2 linked regions of the Ovis aries genome follow. The protein of the gene in region 1 purifies or fractionates together with the protein of each later gene. This does not show direct contact. Links are inferred from orthologs where the notes say so. Each region holds a gene or a part of one and is shown in the gene's direction. Other genes may lie near its edges.

Region 1 (4,131 bases):
TCCAGTGTTCTTGCCTGGAGAATCCCAGGGACGGGGAAGCCTGGTGGGCTGCTGTCTCTGGGTCGCACAGAGTCAGACACGACTGAAGTGATGCAGCAGCAGCAGCAGCAGCAGTCAAGACTATGGTTTTTCCAGTAGTCATGTATGGATGTGAGAATTGGACCGTAAAGAAAGCTGAGGGCCGAAGAATTGATGCTTTTGAACCATGGTGTTGGAGAAGACTCTTGAGAGTCCCTTGGACTGCAAAGAGATCCAACAAGTCCATCCTAAAGGAGGTCAGTCCTGAATATTCATTGGAAGGACTGATGGCTGAAGCTGAAGCTCCAATACTTTGGCCACCTGATGTGAAGAACTGACTCACTGGAAAAGACCCAGATGCTGGGAAAGATTGAAGGCAGGAGGAGGAGGGGATGACAGAGGATGAGATGGGTGGATGGCATCACTGATTCGATGGAAGTGAGTTTGAGCAAGCTCTGGGAATTGGTGACGAACAGCTAAGTCTAGCATCCTGCAGTCCAAGGGGTCACAGAGTTGGACCCCACTGAACTGAACTGACCGACTCACTAAGCACTCTATCACTCTGTAAAGTGAGCTATTATCTTCAGATTGCCTTTGATACCTTACCCTTGCTTGAGTAATAATACACACACACACATACACACAATCTTTGTCTGCTAATATGTTGCCCTCGAACTGAGAAACTCAATAATAAACTCAAATCATGATGCCAAGGAGGTCGGAGATGAAGGATTAACAGGCCGAGAGGTAGTCTCACAATTTCCGCCCGTTACTGGGGCTGAACCTCCAGTTTTGCGTTACAGTATTAGATTTTCTCCCCCTCTTCTTAATTTTTTTTAAGAGGGAAGAGGAGGTTGTCACGCCTAGGGACTACAGGTGTGATTTATCATTATCGATCTGAGCCCAGGAGTCTCCAGACCAGGTGAGGGATTACAGCCGGAAAAGCTAGAGCCCCAGGGTAATTCTGGTAAAACGTCCCTAAATCCATCCTGGGGGGGGGCGGGGAGGGGGGGGAGCGGGAGTGGGGGAGGAGCGGGAAATTCCCCTACTTTAAAGTCTAGGAAGCCTGGTCAGGCTGACCCCGGGGCGGGGCTGCGGGGCAGGTGAGGAAATCCCCATCTTCCCCGTCCCAGAAAGCGCTCAGGTACAAGTCGCACGTCTAAAGCGCACGGGGGCGTTTTCCCCAGGGTCGGTCACCGGGCAGGGGCGGGGAAGTCTGGGCCGGCGGCCCCTTTAAGGCCGCGACCCACGTGCCCCGTGACGTCAGAGCAGGAAGTGTTTGAGGAAGTTGGCGCCTGTCTCGAGGCTCTGAGGGCCCCGCGCGTTCATGTCTTCGGGGCGGCGCCCGCGCCCCGCCGCCAGGTGAGTGCCTCGGGCGGGCGCCCCCGCTGTCACCCGCACCCCCGTCTCCGAGGCTCCCAGAGACGCGCGTGACCGGCCCCGAATCCGGGGCTTCCCGGGCGGGGAGGGCTGGGAGGCCCCGGCGGGGTGGTGCCGGGCGGGGGCCCGGAACGCGGCGGTGATTAGTCGGGACCAGCGGGGAGGCGCCGGAGCGGGGGGCGCAGCCCGGGGATCCCCTGGCAGTTCCTGGGTGCGGGGGCGTCCTGTCCTGGGCGGGACCCCCACCCACCCCTTGCTGCTTCGGGGTGAGGTGGATGGGGGGCTGCGAAAGACAGGACTTTGCTGCCCAAACGAAAACCAGACCCAGCCACCTGCTTTTATGTACGGAGATGAAAAATCAGTTCCGATTTTTCTTTACCATCGAAGCGCTGTGGCATCTCTTAACCTTGTCCATCTTCCCACTTTTCCTTAACCATCACCTTTTGTTCCCCCCCTCGCCCCCCACATTGCTTGCAGCGTTAGCAGGACTTCAGTATGAGCTGGTCACCTTCCCTGCCAACCCAGACATGCGGGGCCTGGGAAATGAAAGAGCGGCTTGGGACAGGGGGATTTGGGAACGTCATCCGATGGCACAATCAGGTAGGCTCTGTGCTGCTGGGAGGAGCCGGGGGGCGGCAGGGTTAGGGGGTGCAGACTAAGTCTCACCCCCTACCCACCCTGTGAATGGGGCTCACCTTGGCCCTGGGCTTCTTGGGAGAGAAAGGGCCTGGGAAGATAGCCTCAGGTCCCCTAAGCTGACTAGGTTAGTGGTCTCCAAGCTTTACTGACTATGTCACCTAAATAAATAGTAAAAAAAAAAAAAAATGTAAGTTTTCAGCTTCAAATATATATTTTAAAATTACATATCTTTGCTAACCTAATATTATCACCTACTAATATATTGTGTAGTTGACTCATTGGAAAAGACTCTGATAGCTGGGAGGGATTGGGGGCAGGAGGAGAAGGGGATGACAGAGGATGAGATGGCTGGATGGCATCACCGACTCGATGGACATGAGTTTGGGTGAACTCCGGGAGCTGGTAATGGACCGGGAGGCCTGGCGTGCTGCATTTCATGGGGTCGCGAAGAGTCGGACACAACTGAGCAACTGAACTGAACTGAATATATTGTGTACTAATGTATTAGATGTTATGAAACATGCAAACATGTTTTCACACTTTAGAAAAATCTTAAGTGTAAAAATAATAAACCATTTTTAAATGTTTTAAAAGTTAATTTAAAAACCATTTTAAATACTTAGCAGTTATGGTGTCTTCCCAGTGTTGTTTGCAATACCTCACAGTGAGAGTTATACAGAGGCACGTGAAAATGAGAATTATCGTTGAGGATGGTGGGTGAACATGCACGTTTCAAGTAATCTTTATAATTTGAATTCTTTGGGCCAATTTTACATCTCATAGATCATCATTTTCTTAATGTCTTTGACATGTGAATTTTTCACCCCACAAGCATTAGGGCTTCCATATTCCTGTTTGTCCTGGTGATACATGCACTGAAATTCTCCACAAGAATCTCTTTAAGCCACTCATCCATTTTATGAGAGTCCTTTTATTAAAATCCTGGAATGAAAAGTCAAGTGGGCCTTAGGAAGCATCACTATGAACAAAGCTAGTGGAGGTAATGGAATTCCAGTTGAGCTGTTTCAGATCCTAAAAGAAGATGCTGTTAAAGTACTGTACTCAATATGCCAGCAAATTTGGAAAACTCAGCAGTGGCCATAGGACTGGAAAAGGCCACTTTTCATTCCAATCTCAAAGAAAGGCAATGCCAAAGAATGTTCAAACTACTGCACAACTACACTCATCTCACACGCTAGCACAATAATGCTCAAAATCCTCCAAGTCAGGCTTCAGTAGTACATGAACCATGAATTTGCAGATGTTCAAGCTGGTTTTAGAAAAGGCAGAGGAATCTGAGATCAAGTTGCCAACATTCACTGGATCATCGAAAAAGCAAGAGAGTTCCAGAAAAACATCTACTTCTGCTTTATTGACTATGCCAAAGCCTTTGACTCTGTGGATCACAAGAAACTGAGGAAAATTCTGAAAGAGATGGGAATACCAGACCACCTAACCTGCTTCCTGAGAAATCTGTATGCAGGTCAGGAAGCAACAGTTAGAACAGGACATGGAACAACAGACTGTTTCCGAATTGGGAAGGGAGTATATCAAGGCTGTATATTGTCACCATGCCTATTTAACTTATAGTACATCATGAGAAATGCTGGGCTAGATGAATCACAAGCTGGAATCAAGATTGCTGGGAGAAATAATCAATAACCTCAGATATGCAGATGACACTACCCTTACGGCAGAGAGCGAAGAACTAAAGAGCCTCTTGATGAAAGTGAAAGAGGAGAGTGAAAAAGTTGTCTTAAAGCTCAGCATTCAGAAAACTAAGATCATGGCATCCGGTCCCATCACTTCATGGCAAATAGATGGGCAAACAGCGGAAACAGTGTCAGACTTTATTTTGGGGGGCTTCAAAATCACTGCAGATAGTAATTGCAGCCATGATATTAAAAGATGCTTGCTCCTTGGAAGAAAAGTTACGACCAACCTAGACAACATATTCAAAACCAGAGACATTACTTTGCCAACAAAGGTCTGTCTAGTCAAAGCTATGGTTTTTCCAGTAACCATGTATGGATGTGAAAGTTGGACCATAAAGAAAGCTGAGCGCCAAAGAACTGATGTTTTTGGACTGGGTAT
Region 2 (3,567 bases), on another chromosome or scaffold:
AAGAATCTACCTGCAGTACAGGAGGCTTGGGTTTGATCCCTTGTTTGGGAAGATCCCCTGGAGAAGGGAATGGCTACCCACTGCAGTATTCTTGCCTGGGAAATCCCATGGACAGAGGAACCTGGAGGGCTACAGTCCATGAGGTGGCAAAGAGACAGACATGTCTGAGCGACTATCACTTTCACTTTCTTTCATACTCACAACACTGCAGGAGAGGTTGTTCTTTTGATCTCACCTTACAGAGGAGAATTTCACCCTAAGAGGCTCTGAACTGCCCAGGCCTGGGCCAGGCCCACCGTGGGTTCTGGTCTAAGTTCTGTCTGACCCCACAGCCCCACTGCCTAGACACTTAGGTGCTGGTGAGATGCCTGGCTTTGACGGTGACCGTGTAGCCCGCCTCGTGTAGTTATGTCCCAGTCTTGTTACTATGCTGTGTCTGACACGAACCCTGCTCCAAGGGTTCCTTGTGCCTAGAATATAGGCTTATCAGAGCAGGGAAGGTGAAGGAGAAATCCATGGTGACTCAAGGGGCTCAAGGGGGAAAACTCCAGATTCAGGGCTACTTGTGTGAAGCCTGTCTGTGGTTTCCTGAAACACTACCCTCTCCCTTTCTTATCTGCTCAAACGTGTGTGTGTTAGTCACTCAGTTGTGTCTGACTCTAGGAGACGCCCATGGACTATAGCCTGCAAGGCTCCTCTGTCCATGGAATTCTCCAGGCCAGAATACTGGAGTGGGTAGCTGTTCCCTTCTCCAGGGGATCTACCTGACCCAGGGGTCAAACCCAGGTCTCCTGCATTGCAGGTGGACTCTTTACCATCTGAGCCACCAGGGAAGCCCACTCAAACAAGTCAATATGTGGAAATAGGGCTTTCCTGGAGTCTCAGTGGTAACAAATCTGCCTGCCAATGCAGGAGACCTGGGTTCGATCACTAGGTCAGAAAGATTCCCTAGAAAAGGAAATGGCAATCCACTCCAGTATTCTTGTCTGGGAAATCCCATGAATAGAGGAGCCTGACGGGCTACAGCCCGTGGGGCCAAAAAAGAGTCAGACACGACTTATCGACTATACAATAGCAACGTGTGAAAATACCCCATAATTTGAGTGGAAAGGCTGACCAAGTTCTTCTGAGTTCCGTTTCCAGTCTAGGGTTCTTGACTAGAGAGCCAGTCTTGAGGCCCTTGGGGGACAACACTGCATCGTGTCCTCCCACCACCATTGTTTCTGCCAGATCATATCACTTTTCCCACCTCCAACCCTTCCAATCTGTCCTCTACACTTCATTTTATTTTTAAAGTATAATATTTATTTTATACTGGAGTCTAGTTGATTTACAATTTTGTGTTAGTTTCAGATGTACAGCAATGTGATTCAGTTATACATATATGTATGTCCCCCACACTTTAAATGTTAATACTAAATTGGATGACATCATTGTCATGCTTACGATGCTTTCTTTGTTCCCCGTTATCTCCAGGACAGAGCCTGACCCCCTTGACCCATGGTCTGGGCCCTTTATAATGGTTCCTGGCCACAGTTCCATCCCTTTGTCTCACCATTCCCTCTTTCAGACTCTTCAGGGTTACTTTTTGAGCTCCCCATGCCTGTCTGAACTGACTTGAACATTCTTGCTTCCATCTTTTGCATACATTATTTCCTTCAAGAATTGTCCTTCACCATCTTCTCCCCAAAGGTGACTCCTCTCCAGGAAGCCCTTCTCCCAGGTTGAGTTAAGACTCTATATTTCTCCTGTGCTCTGGTTACAACTCTCTGACCACTGATTAGTTTGTAAATCTATTTTCCAAAACAGTGTTATGTTCCAAGATGATAATGAGTGGGAACCTGTTTGTTTGTATGTTTTTTTTTAATTTTGTTTTTCTTCTTCCCTGTATCTTTAGCAAAATGTCTGGCATATAGTAGATGTAATAGCATTTGATGAAGGAACAAACCAGTAAGTGGTAGTTTTCTTCCTCATCTGAAAATAACATTGTGTTTTAACCTAGGTAACAACTACATTCTCCTAACACTTGAAAAGCATGGATCTCACCCAATGTCTCTATAAAATTGGAGAGCAGCTGGGCAGTGACGACCTGGCTGCCCTCAAGTTCCTAAGCCGGGACCACATCCCATATAGGAAGCAGGAACCCATTAAGGATGCCTTGATGCTATTCCAGAGGCTCCAAGAAAAGAGAATGTTGGAGGAAAGCAATCTGTCCTTCTTGAAGGAGCTGCTTTTCCAAGTGAATAGACTGGATCTGCTGCTTAACTACTTGGACACCAGCGAGGAAGAGATGAAGAGGGAGCTTCAGATACCTGGCAGGGCCCAGATCTCTGCCTACAGGTGGGGAGAACCTCCGTGGTATGGACCTGGGAGCTGTGGGTTTGAATGGATACATCTTTATGGGCAGGGCTGATATTGTATATAGGTTGTCTGTATGGAGTGACTTTGGAGGCTCTGGTAAGAAGTTTCACCAAGGCCAGGATAAGAAATGTAGAGACTTTATGCAGAATTCAGAGGAAAAAAATGCTAAAACCAATAAAGTAAAATTTTCTTTACAGAGTGAAACATTACCAATAGGTACATGTGCTAACTGCTTCAGTCATGTCCGACTCTTTGTGACCCTATGGACTGTAGCCCTCTAGGCTCGTCTGTCCATGGGGATTCTCCAGGCAAGAATACTGGAGTGGGTTGTCATTTCCTCCTCCAGGGGATCTTCCCAACACAAGGATCGAACCTGTGTCTCTTATGTCTCCTGTATTGGCAGGCGGGTCCTTTACCACTAGCACCACCTGGGAAGCCACTGAAACTCAAATAGCCATGCTTTAAGCATTCTAATTCTCCTTTCTGTTACATGTCTGTTATCTTGATGCCTCTGCTTTGCTGATGTTCATACCATGCACTCAACTTTGCCTATTATTAAATAAAGCATTGCAGCTCCCCACTCGAGAACCCCTCCCATCTACTTGTGGATGACTATGAAATTCTCCACAGGGTTTTAGGCTTTTATTATACACTTTAAGGCTTGTGTTACTAAGTTCTTCAGTGAGGTGTGTGCTGCCAGTCATTCTGGATTGGCCAGGCTGGACCCCCACAATAATTGTGTGTGTTTTTTTTTTTAATGGTATAAGATAACCATTTAAAAAAAAAAATGTTCATCTATTAACTTACTAACGGTTGTGCTGGGTGTGTCTTCAGTTCTGCGCCTGGGCTTTCTCTAGTTGTGGCGAGTAGGGGTCACTCTGTCTTGCAGTGCACGGACTTCTCATTGTGGTAGCTTCTCTTTTGTGGAATGCCAGCTCTAGGCATGTGGGCTTCAGTTGTTGCAAGACTCTGGCTTGGTTGTTTCACTGCACATGCTTAGTTGCTCCACAGCAAGTGGAATCTTCCCCAGCCAGGTATAGAACTCGTGCTCCCTGCATTGGCAGGTGGATTCTTACCCACTGTTCCACCAGAGAAGTCTTAAGATAATCATTTCTAATCTATCCCTGGCCATACAGTGGAAACACCCGCTGTAATAACCAATCATCCTAAAGGTTAAACAGCTTCCACAATTTCACTTCATAAGCC

The links. The genes of interacting proteins can lie anywhere in the genome.
Region 2: the proteins of IKBKB (region 1) and CASP8 purify together in Homo sapiens (affinity purification with western blotting; 3 studies listed by BioGRID and IntAct, with this or other methods). This does not show direct contact. The link is inferred for Ovis aries from reciprocal best matches to the Homo sapiens genes IKBKB and CASP8.

The regions. Positions count from the first base shown.
Region 1 is NC_056079.1:36,452,789-36,456,919, forward strand, and holds the start of IKBKB (inhibitor of nuclear factor kappa-B kinase subunit beta), read left to right. Parts: upstream 1-1,277; 5' UTR 1,278-1,380; intron 1,381-1,875; 5' UTR 1,876-1,893; coding exon 1,894-1,998; intron 1,999-4,131.
Region 2 is NC_056055.1:203,627,015-203,630,581, forward strand, and holds part of CASP8 (caspase-8), read left to right. Parts: intron 1-2,002; 5' UTR 2,003-2,035; coding exon 2,036-2,340; intron 2,341-3,567. UniProt on the Homo sapiens protein: Thiol protease that plays a key role in programmed cell death by acting as a molecular switch for apoptosis, necroptosis and pyroptosis, and is required to prevent tissue damage during embryonic development and adulthood.